Drosophila melanogaster: one gene and its partner. The protein of the gene in region 1 interacts with the protein of each later gene in a pairwise test. Each region holds a gene or a part of one and is shown on either strand. Other genes may lie near its edges.

Region 1 (7,742 bases):
CAATATGTGGATATATATTAAATTGTAAATATGTTTATAGAAACTGTAGAATAAAATCAATGTAACTTATTCACAAAACTCATACTAGTTACTGAGAAAAAACAATGATGATCTTTAACTTACTTTTTTGTATATGATCATAAGTTCGACTTCTCTATTGTTTAGTATTTTTTTTTTTAAGCTGTCTATACTAATCACTAACTTAACGAACAAATCTATTGCCATAAACTACATTTTCTTAATTAACAAAATTTTTTTATATTTGAAATATAATTATAAAAACTCTTTCACTGGGCGTTTCTTGAGCGCTTGCAGTTTATAAATAGTTGTATTATTTTAACTTGAAATTCAAGTACCATTTATAAAATTCCTTAGCATTAGAAGACAATACAAATCTGCGCTAAAAATAAGCAAACTGTTTGTATTGATTTTATAGCTCACTTGTTTTGCTCAAAAGGTATGTACACTATATATATAATCGAGTATCAAAATTGGCGGTTTTGTTTATCCTTGGGCAGAAGGAAACCCTAATCCGACAACAAAATAATATAAGCAATAATTTGTCGCTGTGAAGAAAGCTAATGACTAATTGGCTAGCCATTAATTTTAAGTTTTGCTGCTCGGCAAAAAGTATAAATAAGTGAAAGTATAAATAACACTCATATAAGGAAAATAAACTCAGAAGTGCTGGGAAATCCTCTATATATTTCAAGACTGATTAAGATTTATGGCATTTCTCCAGTGCTCAAAGTACATTCTATTTGTTCGCATTATCAAAGCGAAATATATGGACGTGTTTGTTTGGCGGCAAAAAATAATCCATAAACAAATGAAAACAAGAGTGAATTGTTTTTTGGTTTTTTTTTTTCATTTTTTTTTTTTGCCATGGCATAACATTTATTTTTTCGCATACACAGTATTCCGTTGCTTCTTTTAGTATAAAAAAGTAGTACAAAAGTTCTATTTCTACTCGTGTTTGGCATTGTCAAACTGAAGTACGTGGATTTGTTTGCTCCGCGAAACAAAAACAAAAAAAATGGTAAAATGGTTGGGGCAAAATGCAAATAAAAAGCGAAACAAGTGTGCAAACAGGAGCAAACAAACGTGTGTCCAACAGGTGTGCGTGTGCGTCTGTGTGTGTGTGTAGAGTGTGCATGTGTGTGTTGTTTTTTTTTTCTGGGAGGGTGGGAAAGTGGGTGGTGTTTTCCAGGGTGGGTTGGCGGTTGGTGGGTGGCAGACGCATTGCGTTTATTTACTCGCCAGTCATCATCTCCATGAATTCTGTAAATTAAACAAAATGACAGACATTAAACCGATGCCATCGCGCCAGAGCAACCGCTATATGCATTTATAAATAAATATTCCATAAACACGAAAACAAAATGTAAATATGTACGTTATTCCGAGAATGAAAAATGCGTGTGGTGGAATCGAATTTGTGTGTCGCGCCCAAAAATAGCCAACGATATGCTCCTCCATGGGAGCGTTGATCACATCAAGCTGTCATAATCGAGCGATCTCAAGATCATCGAAATTTATGATCACTATACATATATATGTATGTATGCATGTGGGTGGATATGGATATGGATGTGAATGGAAAGCCACTAGAATGTATTAATATCAAACGGAATGGGCACTCACCATCGAAATCCACTGTACCGGAGCCATCGGAATCGATCTCCTCGATCATAATGTCCAGCTCCTGTTCGGTCAGCTGGTCGTCCAGCTCCTTGAGGATCTCCTTCAGGCAGGTGGTGGGAATGAAGCCATTGCCCTGCTTATCGTACAAACGGAACGCCTCGCGCAGCTCCTTCTGCATGGCCTCCGCATCCTCCTCCACGATGAACTTGGCAGCCAGCTGGACGAACTCGCCGAATTCCAAGCGACCGGACTCTGAAATGTGCCAAATATTCCAAGTGTTTATAATTAACTGCAAAAACGACTGGAAAGCCAGCGGCTAATGATGGGGCAACCAAAACGACTATGATCATAAATCAATGACAGCGAGTAACTAAAATTTAATCATCACTCGATGGTGAATCATCTGTGATTTGCTGTAATAGCCAGCTAAACCTTATTCAATAAATATATACATTTATTACTTGCAGCTGTCATAAGGTTATTTTTTTTATATTTTGTTCACTTTTGTTATTGGATCATAGAGTCACTTTTGCATAGAGTCTGCACATAATTACACCTATATAATATCTAAAAAACTGATTTCATTTCTAATTGTAAGATAATATTTTTTTTAGATGATAGATTTTTATAGATTATAGACTATAGATGTTGAAGGAAAATGTGTATATATAACTACACAAATCGATTAAACGAAAGAAAAAAACATCCATGAAATCGGCACAAGTGTACATATATATTATTGATGCATTTCTCATTTTTATTTTGTTTCATTTTATAATAACTATATGCATTTAGTTTTTGTAGAATTTTCACCCTGTTCTACTTGGGGACTGAAATAAATTAAATTAAATATATGCCACACAATTATTTTAATTGGCAGTTTGACTCAATGACTCAAATGCAAATGTTGTCTATTTTGAATTGTATTCATATTAAAATTGTAAATATAATAAAATATCATTGAAATACTCAGCAACTTTCGACTATATCTATCATACGTTGTAAAAATAGCGTTTACTTACTGTCCTCATCGACCTCCTCGATCAGTTCCTCCAGGATCTTCTTGTCGAAGGGCTGACCTGCAGTTGTAAAAACAATAAGTACTCCTTCATCCAAATGGACATCCTCAACCCCAAAACTCACCCATCAGGCGCAGTATGTCGGCGACCATCTCGGTGGGGATGGAGCCAGTCTTCTGGTGATCGAAGCTGTTGAACGCCTTCTGGAGCACGGCGATCTGCTCGGGTGTAAGATCTTCATCCTGGAATTGGACACACATTTAGGTATTAATCATCGACAATCCTGTGGAGCTGGAAAAATCTCAGATGCTTACGACGCTGCTCATGTTGCTGCTACTTTTGGGTATATCTTTGCCAATGGGATCTGTCTGATCAGCCTAATCTTGCGAAGCGATCGTCACGGAGTATTCGTTCCAACTGCGAGGCTGCGCGGATGCGTTTTCCAAAATATAGACCACAATCGGTGAACTTGCCACGGAAAAGCGGAAAAACACGAATGCGGCTGCCGATCAATCGGTGGATGTTCGGATCGTTGGAGTATATGTAGCGTTTTTCCACGCCGCTGCCCGAATTTTATTGTTTTTTAGAAATGACTGTAAAGTGCGATGGGAAAAAGCAAAAATAAAACGCGATCGGAGCGTATCCCGCCGCATTCGCTGCCCCGGAGACTGAACACGAGCCGTATAGTGGTTTTCCACGGCCACCGATCGCTCGTTGGATGGAGCACATCCCATCCAGTGGAGCGGCATGGGGAGCCGTCGACGGGGCAGCCACGATATCTGCATATGTGCGCCAGCCAGCTATAATGCGATGCGTTGCGCTGAGATCCCCGCATCCCCAAGTCTGCGAATATATATCTATATATTATATAGATATGTGTTTAGATTCAACGAACAGATGGAGAAATCCCCACTGGCACTGGAGCAATGCCCCCCATTCCGTTTGTCGCCGGAGAGCGAAACGTGGGCAGCGGCAGTGAGGAATGTTCTGCCCACATCCATGAATTGGTCGACAAGTTGCCAGTTTCTCTGTCCGATTCCCCGAATCCATTGTTCAATTGTCAAAATACAAGTGAATGGGTGGAAAACAATGTATGTCCATGCATTTATTTTCAATACATCAAACTCGAACAAAAGACTTTCTAAAAAGTAAAAGGTTGATTTTTCGATTGAAAATATACACCAAATAAGAAATTCTAAGTTCTCACGCTATATAAACATATTGAACATACAAGGTCATTATCTATTCAAGCGTTCCAAATAAATTACAAGACTTTTGGATTTGGAAAAAAATTTGAATTTTTTAGAGAGAATATCGGATATGCAAATAAGGATAAAGATATATAAATAGTCTTTTCCAGCTAACGTTTATTTAAATACAGCTGAATCCTTTATTGAGGAATATTTTTTTCATCCGTATACAATAAGACAACATTTATTTATCACATAAAAAACCGAACAGCTATTTCCGGAATTTTGAAAACCGATACGTTATCGGTAGTTGAAGCGAATTTGGTCTGGCAACTATCTGCGACGTTGCCATATTGATGACACAGCGATGGTTCGCATAAAGAATAGGTAAATATTGACCGCGTTTTCCTTAACGATCATTAATTAAACCATCCATAAACAGGTATATAGCGGTGCAGATTGTGCCCTACACGCCAACACAATCTCTGCGACTCAACGACCACAGCCTGACCAAGATCCTGCTTCAGAATGTGGAGAAGTATTACGGAGTCTATGGCCTCGCCGTGATCGAGCAGGGATTTCGAGTGAAATACATCAACGATCGCACGAAAATGGCAATCATACGCTGTCTCCATCGAGGCCAACGCTTCGTGTCCAGCGTATTGCCATTGATTACTTTGGTTGGTCTCATTGCCATGTCCTTAAACCAGCTATAAAACCACATTTCTTTCAGATCGGAGATGTACGGGCCAAGTTTAGGACGCTGTACATTGGTGCCACCATCATCCAATGCAACAAGTTCATAGTCAAGCACCAAAAACAGTTCCTGGACCGCACCATGGGTCAGATAACCTCCGCCAAGGAGCGCCAGGATCTCTTCAAGCGCGTAATGGAGTTCGACATGGACAGATAGCACATAGTTTGTTTAGAATGTAATTAAGTAATTATATTTAATGGTTTTCTTATAGAAAACCCATGCTTCCAATTCAACTAAAATGTGAGTGTTTTTGGTATCGTTCTAAACTTCGATGAGGAATTTGCGACTCGGTGAGCGGGCAACCTTGGCTCCAAATTGCTTTATTCTCTGCCGGACGTCGGCCAACGTCAGCTTGTTCCTCTTGCTGTAGACATTGAGATATATGCCCAGGACAACGATGAGGCCCGACCACAGATATCTGAAAGTTTGGGATAGGTATAATAGAGCTTTGTCTTTAGAAATACACAGAATAGTACTTACTGTAAGGTAAAGGGCTTGCTGAAAAGCACAAAGGAGAAGGCTATAGTCACAGCCTTGCGGGCGGTGGTCACTGTGGCAGCTATGGGGGCACCACTACTCCTCACCAGAGCCAGCACAAACTGAATGCCCAGATAGCCGGACAAACTAAAGAGGAAGCCATAGCCGAAGGTCTCAACGGGATGCTAAATGGATAATACACTTTAGATCTCTTACATCATAAACCTCAAATGTTACCCACCTCCAAACAGAATGCAAAGCCGCTGAAGAAGTTGCCGGTAACCAGCATAATCACAAATAGGTACACAAAACCCAAGCCGTATGAGTAGAACACCACCTCACTGCTGGGCGCCTTGAATTCCCGCATCGCCTTCTCCTGGACATTGCCAATGGCTGCGTCGCAGAGCAGCGCTCCCGAAATCATGGCCACACCAAGCAGATTGAAATTGGGCGTCATCTGGGAGTCGGCCAGCGTGAACCAGGCCAATCCGATGCACATGCAGGTGGCTGCCGCAAAGTCCAGCAGTCCGTAGCGTTTGCCCTGTATGAGGATGCTGCCCACCAGCACGGGAATGAGCTTGCAGCACTTGAAAATCACCTGGGTGGGATAGTTCAGGTAGCCGAGACTTGAGTTGGACAGACCCATGGTACCCAGCGTGAGAGCAGCCAGAATTAGGTATGTTCTCATGGGAATGCAACGTGGCTCCGGCTCAATGTTCCAAAAGGAACCGCCGCTTATCCGATAGCCCTCCAGCCGCCGCTCCACCAAACCGAAGCCGATGTAGTAGCCAAACTGGACGAGCGTGAGGAACCATCCGTAGGGTTTGAATCCTTCGACGGTGAAGATCAGCTCCTGCAGATAGCCGTACAGGATGTACAGGAAGAAGACGCCGGCGCAGCTGAGCAGGAACTGAGTTGTGCGATTGTAGTAGGTGAGGTCAAAGCAAAGGATACGGAGTTCCGGCGGAGATTCCGACGTCGAGGACTTCCGCTGCGAGGGCGGCGAGTTTCCCGCCGATTCGCCGCCATTAATGGTGATAACGCTCCCCTTATTATCGGTCATTCTGCTGCTAGCGGATGTGTCTATATACATATACACACTATATAGTGGCTATTTCAAGATTATATTTCCAGGGAGCCCGTGTAATTCAATGCCACGCTGTCCGCGGAGTTGTCGGTTTAAAGTGCGGATTTGTCATGCCTCCTCGGATGCTGCATTAATCACGGGCCGGCGTGGAGATTTCTGTTGGGTGCAAATTGCCCTGGCTAAATGTTTGTTTACCACAAATAAACTATTTTTGTCAGCTTAGAACTGAGATAGACGCGCGGCGTTGCCACGTTGTGGTAATAATAGAAGAGAGACCGGTATAACGTGGAACAAGTTGGCAGCTCTGCTACCACCGTCATTCTAATTGGAACTTCTGCTACTGGCAATAAATACATTTAACAAATGAGCAGCGATAAAGGTTTAAGCCGCTTTTTTGCTCAAAAAAGCGTATGATAAGCGCTAAAAACTACTTAAAAAGTAGTGCCGAGAGTAACTCCTAGTATTTGACTACATGTCGTTCTAAGAATACAAAGATATGGGCACACTGTCGGAAAAAACAAGAAGAAGCAGTGAAAAGTGCCGCTGAAAAAGTGCAAAAAGTTATGAATTTAGTATTTTACATAGGATAATAGTGCTAATAACAGTCGCAAAATGGACGTGCAACCGCCACGCGGTAAGTGCAGCAATTAAAAAGTGCTGAATATAACTTAAAATCAAGCTAATTTTGTGCCCAAGTCGATTGGCATGCACATGTGTACACATACAAACAAACAAGCGCACGCACAACCTTTGATATGCTCACATTTTTTGCAAAAACCATTTGCTTTCTATTTGCAGATGCCAGTTTACGAAATATTATCGACAAACTGGCGGAGTTTGTGGCCAGAAATGGGCCGGAATTCGAGGCGATAACCAAGCAGAAGCAGCAGAACAATCCAAAGTTCGAGTTCCTCTACGGCGGGGAGTTCGCCAACTATTATCAATTCAGGGTGGCAGCGGAACAAGCTCGTGAGTGCGTTCTAAATTGGTGGAAAATAACCCCTATAATCTCCTTTTAACACCCAATACAGTGCTAAAGCAACAGGCCATTAACCAACAACTGCCACCAGGTGCTCCATCCGGCCACTACATGCAACATCCGCCGCCAATGCAGCAATCCCAACCACCGGGCCTCTATCCGCCACCCAATCAGCAGCCACCGCACCCGCCCGAAACCGCACAAGACAATATGCAACAGCAAACACAGCACTCCTGGCCGCCGAACTCCGGCAACGGTGGGCCGCCAAACAATCAGCAGGCCAATGGCAATCCCATGGCCATGAATCTAACGTCACAACTGGAAGCCATCAAGATGCAGCAGAAGTCGCTGCGGGAACAGATCCAGCAATCCGAAGCGAATCTCTCCGCACAGCACACGGTAATTTGAAGTTGGAAATAACTGGGATACCTCTATATGCCCACCTTTGCAAGCCTTTTTCCGAAAGATTAGAGCAGCTCGAGTGTATAAAGAAAAGATTTCAATATGATTTCATGTTGAATGTTGGCCTCCTCTGGCAAAAATTTAAAGAAGCAAATTGGTTTCCTTTTTAAACTAAATACCCACCTAA
Region 2 (9,508 bases), on another chromosome or scaffold:
GATCCTTAATCATCCTTTTAGGTGATTCTCCTGCTACCATGGGATCCACCAGTTTCATATATAATGGATCGGGCTCGTTTGCAAGTGGGTTTCCAGTTTCAGAAGACTCTGACGTTCTAAGCGCCAATAAAATGAAAATAACCAAAAGGAAACTAGACATGTTTCGTTACAGACAGATATAGATTGGATATTATTGAAAGAAAATGAAAATAAACAGCGATAATGATCTGTGACTTATTGGAAATTAGATGGCTTATGGATGATGGGGCGATAAATTCGAACAAACACTGAGAGCATTTTTGGGAGCATTGTGGGAGCTTTTCTATTATCCAGTACTTTATATACATATATCATTTATATACTAATCATTTCTGGTAGCCGTTCGTAATCAGGATCGGATCCTTTTTTACCCGTTAGTCAGCTAGAAGAAACGAAAAATTAAAATAGTAAAATCTAAAAGTATACAAAAATTCAAATAGTAAAACCAAAAAGTATTAAAAAAAATATCAATCGTTTTTAAACGTTGATTTTTCAGCTTGTGGGGTGATTTATCGCTAACTTGGAAAATGATAATAAAGCATTATCCATAATATTAGTTGTGGAAATGAAATTCAAATAGATGTTGTGTTATATACGATGAGGATGTTGCATTTGAGTCCCCGGAAATATAGTATTTTTTTTACCGAAGGTATTATCGTACCGGTCAAGTACGGTCACACTGCCAAGCGCAGATTTGAGGATTTCTAGATTTGGCCTCTTGATGGACTAGAAGCGCTACCAAAACTGGGGCTTGAGTTGAATTACCTGTTGGAAGACACAATGCCACCCACGATCAACAATTCGGCGGTAAACAGTGCCGCCGAAAAGCGACCCCAGCGGCAAACGGAGCGCAAGTAAGTGAACAGATCCCTAAACAGACGCCAGATACTCAGACTGATGTGTACCTTGCAGATCCGAGATCATTTGCCGCGTGAAGTATGGAAACAACCTGCCGGATATACCATTTGATCTGAAGTTTCTGCAGTACCCCTTCGACAGCCACCGCTTCGTGCAGTACAACCCAACGTCGCTAGAGCGTAACTTCAAGTATGACGTGCTGACGGAACACGATTTGGGTGTCACGGTGGACCTGATTAACCGGGAGCTCTATCAGGCCGACTCCATGACGCTGCTGGACCCCGCCGATGAAAAACTGCTGGAGGAGGAGACTCTGACGCCCACAGACTCTGTGCGTTCGCGCCAGCATTCGAGGACGGTGTCATGGTTGCGCAAATCCGAGTACATCTCCACCGAGCAGACGCGCTTCCAGCCCCAGAACCTGGAGAACATCGAGGCCAAGGTCGGTTACAACGTCAAGAAGTCGCTTCGGGAGGAGACTCTCTACCTGGACCGCGAAGCCCAGATCAAAGCCATCGAGAAGACCTTCAGCGACACCAAGAGCGAAATTACCAAGCACTATTCCAAGCCCAATGTGGTGCCAGTGGAGGTACTGCCTATCTTCCCCGACTTCACCAACTGGAAGTTCCCGTGCGCCCAGGTCATATTTGACAGTGATCCCGCTCCTGCGGGCAAGAACGTGCCCGCCCAGCTGGAGGAGATGTCGCAGGCCATGATTCGTGGTGTGATGGACGAGAGCGGCGAACAGTTTGTCGCCTACTTCCTGCCCACAGAGCAGACGCTGGAGAAACGCCGTACAGACTTCATCAATGGCGAGCTGTACAAGGAGGAGGAGGAGTACGAGTACAAGATCGCTCGAGAGTACAACTGGAACGTGAAGACCAAAGCTTCCAAGGGCTACGAAGAAAACTACTTCTTCGTGATGCGTCAGGACGGCATCTACTACAACGAGCTAGAAACCCGTGTGCGCCTTAACAAGCGTCGCGTTAAGGTTGGCCAGCAACCCAACAACACCAAGCTGGTAAGTATATTTATGCGCATACATCTATAGCGAGCTTTACTTTGTATTATTTCTACCAGGTTGTCAAGCATCGTCCATTGGACAGCATGGAGCATCGTATGCAGCGCTATCGCGAGCGCCAGCTAGAAGTTCCTGGCGAGGAGGAGGAGATCGTGGAAGAAGTGAGGGAAGAGGAGCAAATGCAAATCATTGGCGAGACGGAGAAGACGAGCGAGGACGCAGCTGTTGGCGCACAGGCAGCATCTGGAGCGGACTCACCCGCCCAGGTAGCCCGCGATCGACAGTCTCGTTCTCGGAGTCGAACTCGCAGCGGGTCCAGTTCAGGATCTGGATCTGGCTCCGGCTCTCGGGCCAGCAGCCGCTCAAAGTCTGGTTCTCGGTCTGGTAGCGGCTCCAGATCACGCACAAATTCGCCGGCAGGATCCCAGAAATCCGGATCCAGATCGAGATCGGTATCACGTTCCCGATCCCGTTCCAAGTCCGGCTCTCGGTCGCGTTCTAGGTCGAGATCCAAGTCCGGTTCCCGATCACGTTCGGGCTCCAGATCTGGCTCTGGGTCGCGATCGCCCAGCCGGTCTCGCAGTGGCTCGCCTTCTGGTTCAGGATCCAGCTCTGGAAGCGCCTCAGATGAATGATTAATTACAAAAAACGGCGTTCATAATAAATAAGTTTATAATCAACCAAGTACATTTGAAAACTGAACTAACTCGATTTAATATCATTTTCGCCTCAACTCAGCGCTCGGGTTCGTTGCCCAGAATAGTTTTAAATAAAATCGGCAGTTTAACATAATTTATATTAGATGTTGTTGTTGTATTGCAAACAAGTCGGGTCCTAGTCGATTTACACTTGGCTGAGATAAAACAACTAAGATTCAAATAATATCCTCATAAGAAGATGTAATTAAGACGTTTTTCTTAGGGGGTGCTTAGGAATTGATTAGATCGCCTTTGGGGAAGTGCAAACAATGTAAAATGATATAAAAGGGTATAAATTAAGTGGATATATGCATCTTCGTTCCAACTACGTGGCGTCCATCAAAAAGCGCTGGAAGACTTCGCCATCGGAACTAGGTAGCTCTGTTTGTTGCGGTGAGTAGATTCTCAAGTTCTGGAGTTGCTGCAGCGGAGAGCCATTCCCGCTGAAGTGTACCACCGCAACCGGCTGTAGGGATATGAGCTGTCCCTCCTCCCGCGGCTCCACACCACAGATGCCCAGCTTTTGGCACTGCTCAACGACAATGTCGTCGATTGACTGCGAAAGCAGTGCCTCCTGCTCAGGATCCACAATGGAGCTGCTGTTGATGGCAGCTATTTCGGCGCTCGCTGGTGAAGGCTGAGTATGCGAGTCGTTGCCCTCCAGGAACGCCTTTATCAGCTGCTCCGGTGTCTGGGCCTCCTCGGTGGGACATCGATGGGTCCTTTGACTGACCTTGTACCTGAACGTCTTTTGGCAGAGCTCGCACTTGTAGGGCATCACTCCCGTGTGGATGCGCGTGTGGACAAGGAAAGAGACTCGCTGCCGGAAACACTTGCCTGTGGACGAGTCCGAAATACGAAAAGGTTAGACATGGAGTGACCCGGAAAAGAAGGTATACCTCTCCTTCATTTAAAGTAAATAGGGCAAATCGCAATGGAGTATGCTCATTTATAAGCTGGCTAACAAAATAAGGGGCGGCTAATTAAGGGGTTTGATCGATACTCACCGCAGACTTCGCACTTGAAGGGCTTTTCGCCGCTGTGAATCCTCTGGTGGTTATGCAGCGTAGACAGTTCCTTGAAGGCGCGTCCACAAACCCCGCAGACATGGGGCTTTACCTCGCTGTGGTAGAGCAAATGCTTGTGGTACGACTGCTGGAAGGTGAAGGTCCTGGCGCAGATCTCGCATGTGTACGGCATCTCGCCGGTGTGGAGCCGCTTGTGCTTCTTCAGAAAGTACTTGGTGGTGAAGGACTTGCTGCACACATCGCACTCCCACAGCTTCGGGGTGGCCGTGCCCGACTCCGGCGAACTGGGGGACTGCTGGAGCATGCTCAGCGCCCCACTCAGCGCGTATGGCTGGGATGCGGTGCACGTGGAGTTATTTCCGTTGCCAAGGGCTCCAGGCTCTGTGTGTCGAATGCGATCGCAAATGCTCAGCTTGGGCGTGGCAGTAACTGCACTGGTGGTAGAAGCGGGTGTAGGACTGGGATTAGGATTTGGATTGGGATTGGAGCAGGGCACGCCCATCATGTGCACTACTTTCAGGTGGATTCGAAGGGAGCCCTTCATTCGGAACGTCTTGGAGCAGAGATGGCACTTGTAGGGCTCCTGGTCCTGTATAAAGCAATAATCGGAATTTCACTTATATTTATCAATTCATCAATATGCCCTCATGGCCAAATATTCCATTACATTACCGTCTGTCTCTCAGTTTCAAATTTATGCACAAAAATCATTCACTTTCATTCACTATATCACAAAGTTGCCATGGTTTTAAATTGATCAAAAACAAATTAATATCTATCATATATATACATAGTCATATGAACAGTTGAAAAATTAATTGAAAATAATGGGAACGATATACGTACATACATCAGTTGTTTTTAAAATATAAGGGTATATAGATTTCTTTCTTGTTGTTGTTGATTTTAATTACGTCAAACTTTTGTTTCAGATTCAATGTAAATGGTCTAGCTTTTTAAGTATGATTTTTTTTTGCTGCCAGTGAGCATAGAAAAAAAAAATCAAAATCGATATAAGAATATGCGAAAGTGCATTACGAAACTCTTTAGATAATAGCACTTAATATATGTACATAGCCAATAGTTACCGGTTCCTTCTGTTGGGGTTCCTTTTGCTTGGGTTCTCCCTCCGCATTTTCGTGGACTAAGCGGACGTGCATGTCCCTCAGCTCGGTATTCCGGAAACTGAACTCGCAAATGTCGCAGTGGGCGGGCGGGGTGGTCCGCACAGGCGGTGGGGTTGGGACGACGGGCTTGGACCTGGTTCGCTTGGCCCTCCGTTTGGGAGGAGCTGCGGCAAGGAAGCCCCGGGACGAGGCGGGTTGGCCATTCGCTGGACTCTCGTTTCCCTCCTGAGCCATCAGACTTGTGTGCGAGAACAGGTGGATGGTGAGCTTGTCCAGCCCCAGGAAGAGCTCCTTGCAGTTGGCAAAGGGACAGGCCAGTGGGCCGTTGGCCGCCTTGATCAGCCTCTGCTGCAGTGCGTCAATACTGCCGAAACTGGGCACCGCGCAGAGCGGACACAGCACCGAGGTGGAACACATTTCGCCAGTGCACTCAATCGAATCTTATGCAAATGCTTCACCTCCTATTGGGATTATCCTCCTGTTCGGTCTGTGATCATCTATTCAGGAGTCCATTCCCAGACTGCCTAGTCTTTCTGCTTTCAAAATTTTCTAAAAATATCAGCAAGTGAAGATTTTTGAAAACTTTGGGCCCAGCAATCTGACTTCTCGGCACCGATGCCAGCTAACGAAATAATGAAAAATAATGAAATGCCCGGCGCGGATCGTCGAATCGTCAAGAAGACTTTCGGAAACACTCGCAGCACCGAAATCCCATCTCTCGAACAAGGCAGTCTCTTTTCTCCGTGTCTCTGGGTAGCTCATTTCGAAATATAGCTCTGAGCACGGCTATATACTATATGTATGTAGAATTATTTCTGGCCGATATATGTTGCACTGGCGGCCATATAGCCTTCGTTCTAGTCTTTGTAACGCACGATGCGCAGGAGCAATTCGCTGAGATGACCACATGCGATTTGCGGGACTTATCTAGAGATCTATCATTATCGCCAGATTGGTTTAATAATTGGCTTTTCCGCCAATATCCAATTGGAATATGGTTGGTTACTGCAATTGTCGCTCCATTTTTTAAGCACTCCATAAAAAGTAAACACATTAATATGTACTCTTATTGGAGATTTCTTCTTTCGATTTTAGTTTCGGACCAGTGAAAATCATTCGTTTCATTTTCGTAAATAAGAACTGAGAAAATATTATTATTATATATATTTCTTTATTAGGAAAATACGAAGATTGAGTATTTCAGATTGAATTAGCATATCCGTCTAAATCTTAATGCTGTAATGAGCTTACTTGAGATCTGATCAAAACCAATACAAAACCCACACCAAAGGTGGTAGCTAATATACATATTTTGTGTAATACTTTTGTAGAGTATTTACTATTCAGCGATTTAAACAAGCAATCGCCTAGACACACACATTTGTCCGCCTATGTGTATGTGCACCGAGCTATACCCCCACTGAATCGCTGTGTGCTATTTTTATGGCCGCGATGCTCTCTTGTTTTGACCCGCTTGGGCAACGCATTTTATTCGCTGTTTCGTTTAGATGGTCAATTTGTAAACACTGCGATGCCAACACGTGAAGATACGAGCATACGGGTTGAGATCATCGGATATCGAACGGAATAATAAATAAATATATTTTAGACTATTATTTTTTCTTCGGCAAGGGCAACTCAAGCGATATGATGCTCAGTCCGGAGTGGGAGGTTGTGGAGGATGTGTCATCCTTAAGGGAGCTCATGTCGGAGACGGAGGACCGGGCACTAGCCCCGTCGCAGGAGAACTTCTTGCCCTTAACATTGAGGTAGGAGGCGGTGTCCTGACCCTGCGAGGACTTGCCCGAGGAGCTGCTGTTCCAGGACACGCGGCTGCACGTGCGCTTCAGGTGCATCGGCAACTTGATTCCTTTTCGCAAGAGGATTCCAATTATATCCGTGCCGCTCTCGTCGCTGTTCGCCAGATCGGTGATCATGTTCAGCGCCTTGGTGTTACGCGCCTCCAGCTCCTGTAGAGACAGATCCCGCTCGAACTGCGCCAGGTACTCCTCGCTAAAGGGCCGCGCCTTGATCTCCCGCAACTGTGTCCGGATCTCTCGATTGGCCCTGTCCAGCTTCATTCGCTGGTCATCTAGTTCGCGCTCGATCTTCTCCAGAACTGCAGAGTGCTCCGCCCGACTAGCCTTCGCCTTCTCTATTTTGGAAATCAGGTCTTCCTCCTCAGCTCGCTGGGCTGCGTGCTTCTGCTGGTAGTGCTGTGCCTTGCACCTGAGAACCTTCAGTTTTTCCAGCTCGCGGCAGTAGGCCGCCTCAAGTTCCTTCAGCTCCAGTTCGGCCCGCTCGCGATCTAGAAATTAGAAGTATGGAAAAAATCTACCAATTTAACATTGAATTACACAATTCTAAGCCACCCGGCTTGTAGACATGGCTAGAATATGACCGCTTAATGTGCTATTATAGTTACTGAAAGTCGGAACGGACGGACGGAAATGGCCAGATCGACTCAGGTATGGATCTTGATCAAGAATATCTATTCTTTATAGAGCCAGAAAACCTAATTTGTTCCTATTCAATATCTGTATCTGTGAGTGTTATTAAAATTCAAAATTAGAGCAATGTTGCTAATACTAGTAACCCTTTCCACTCTGAATGGTCATTTATAACTCACCCTTTGAGTTTTCGTCCACAGATCGGAATGTTTTTCGGTAGTTATCGTTCGATTTGTCGAACTGGCGCAGTGTGTTTTCCAGGGCGACCACTTCCTTCTCAGCCTTGAGAACCTTTTTGTTGAGGGCATCGCCCTCGTCGGCCAGCATCTGCCGTTCCTGGGCGCTCACCACCTTCAGCTGTGTGCTGGTCATGATGGAGCCGTCCTCGTTTTTGCCTAGCAATTGGGCGGTAAGTTCAAAGCGCGCCTTCATCGCCTCAATCTGCTTCTTCCGCTCCCCGAGGTCGGCTCGCAGGGTGCTTAGTTCCTCGTTAAGATGCTTCTTCTTGAGGAGGAGCACATCCTCTTGGCTGCGAAGCTCAACGGTGCGATCTTTGATGGCGCGCCGGAAGGCAAGGCGGTGCTGCTCTAGGTCGTAGGTGCCCTGCTCGCAGCCTCCGATGCCAACCTCTAGGTCGCTGCAGCGCATCTTGACCATGTTGAGGTCGACTATGAGCTCGGAATTCTCGTATCGAATCTGGCGCAGTCTCTTGACGGTGCCCTCGCAGTACACCTGGGCCTCTTTAATCTTGAACCTGACCATTTCGAGCTCCTTCTCGTCGGCGTTGTACTGGACGACCAGGTTGTTCATGTTATAGTTTAGCTTCTTATTCTGCGCCTCCGTGGTGGCGATGAGGCGTTGCAACTTTTCATACTCCTGCTCCAGAGTGTTAAGCCGGGCCATGTTTGTGGCCTCTACCTCGGGGTCATCTGCCAGACCCTTGATCTCGGCGAGACGCCGCTCCGCCTCCAAGCACTTAAAGGACAGGCTGTAATGGATCTCCGTCTGCCGCTTGAGTTCGTTATTGACCTGCTGCTGATTGCGATTGATCGCTGCCAGGTTGGAGTTGAGCGAGTCGTTCTGCACCTTCAAGACCTTCTCCTCGTCCTGCAGCTCGATGACCTGCCTCTGGGTGCGGTACAACATCTCGTTGACCTTCTCCTGCTCCTTGTCCAGGTTTCGCAGAGCCGTCTCCTCCGCCTGCATCATCTCCTCCAGAATTTGCAGCCGCTGCTCCGCATTGAGGGCCTTGTTCTGTACAGACTTCAGCCGAGCGTTAACCTTCTCCATCACCGAAGCGAAGTTCTCCAGCTCCTTGGCCTTCTCATCGCGCTTTTTCATCTGACTACGGTTATCCATGCGCTGCAGGTGAACCCGGTTCGAAAGGTTCTCCAGTTCCCGACGCAGTCCGTCGATCTCGCGCTCCTTCAGTAATGTGGCATCAATCAGGATCTGGATTTGGTTTTTCATGTCGGAGCTTTCCTCGTTGAGGGACTCGATCGCGAGCTCCACCTGGCGGTTGTTCTCGATGACCTCGGTTAGCTGGTTGTCGTACTCCTTGTAGGTCTGAGCCGTCTGCTGGGCTTTCTGGGCCAGCTCCGCACACTCTATCTCGCTGCGCTGAATGTCGTGCTCTCGCTGGGTCATCTGGTTCACGGCGCTCTTCCACGTCTCCACCATCTGGCGGCGTTCCGCGTGGGCAGACCTGTACAGACAAGCGGTTCGCTCCAGATTCTTCTCCAGCGTCATTTGCTCGTCATAGAGGAGCACCACCTGCTTGCGCCGCTTGTCGATGTCCGCCTGCAAGAGCTGACGCTTAATGTTCAGCTCCCGTGCCTTTTGCTGGTCATCGAGGTAGTACTTTTCGATTAGCTGGTAGCCCTTGTTTCCGTCTTCCATGGCCTCTGTCCACTCCACCAAGGTAGTCTTAGCCGACTTGATGCGGGAAGTCAGCTCATCTATCTCGCGCTTGCTCTGGCAAATCTTTCCTGGTCATAGGACAAACAAAAGGGAAATTGCACATGTATCATCAAATGATATATAATAGATGGTTAGTGTGCTTAATAACCAGCAAATTGGTTAGTTGCACATTTTGGTTCTTGGGGTACATTTGACTTACGCTCAGTGACTTTGACATATTCAGTGTACTCCTCCAGCTCCTTGTTATTCTTCCGCAGATCCTCCTTGATCTTGTTGCGCTCCAAGATCACAAGCTGGACGTTGTGCGCCTCCTTGATAACATCATCCTTCAGGGAGCTGTACAGTGTCTAGGTGGTACTAAGAAATG

The links.
Region 2: the proteins of TpnC73F (region 1) and CG14655 interact in a two-hybrid assay, tested with the Drosophila melanogaster proteins (one large-scale study listed by BioGRID).

Annotation. Positions count from the first base shown.
Region 1 is NT_037436.4:17,041,504-17,049,245, reverse strand, and holds TpnC73F (troponin C at 73F), read right to left. Parts: upstream 3,184-7,742; 5' UTR 2,990-3,183; coding exon 2,978-2,989; intron 2,906-2,977; coding exon 2,788-2,905; intron 2,724-2,787; coding exon 2,667-2,723; intron 1,897-2,666; coding exon 1,645-1,896; intron 1,282-1,644; coding exon 1,253-1,281; 3' UTR 856-1,252; downstream 1-855. Other genes in the region: POP5 ribonuclease P/MRP subunit, read left to right, coding at 4,221-4,240, 4,296-4,533, 4,587-4,766; Papst2 (PAPS transporter 2), read right to left, coding at 4,872-5,028, 5,091-5,272, 5,329-6,180; scaf6 (SR-related CTD associated factor 6), read left to right, coding at 6,787-6,808, 6,973-7,143, 7,206-7,552.
Region 2 is NT_033777.3:4,774,887-4,784,394, forward strand, and holds CG14655 (uncharacterized protein), read right to left. Parts: upstream 5,417-9,508; 5' UTR 5,189-5,416; coding exon 4,733-5,188; intron 4,234-4,732; coding exon 3,624-4,233; intron 3,454-3,623; coding exon 2,942-3,453; 3' UTR 2,611-2,941; downstream 1-2,610. Other genes in the region: CG44088 (uncharacterized protein), read right to left, coding at 1-160; atms (antimeros), read left to right, coding at 820-893, 952-1,918, 1,978-2,553; Ccdc39 (Coiled-coil domain containing protein 39), read right to left, coding at 6,385-7,079, 7,401-9,209, 9,341-9,488.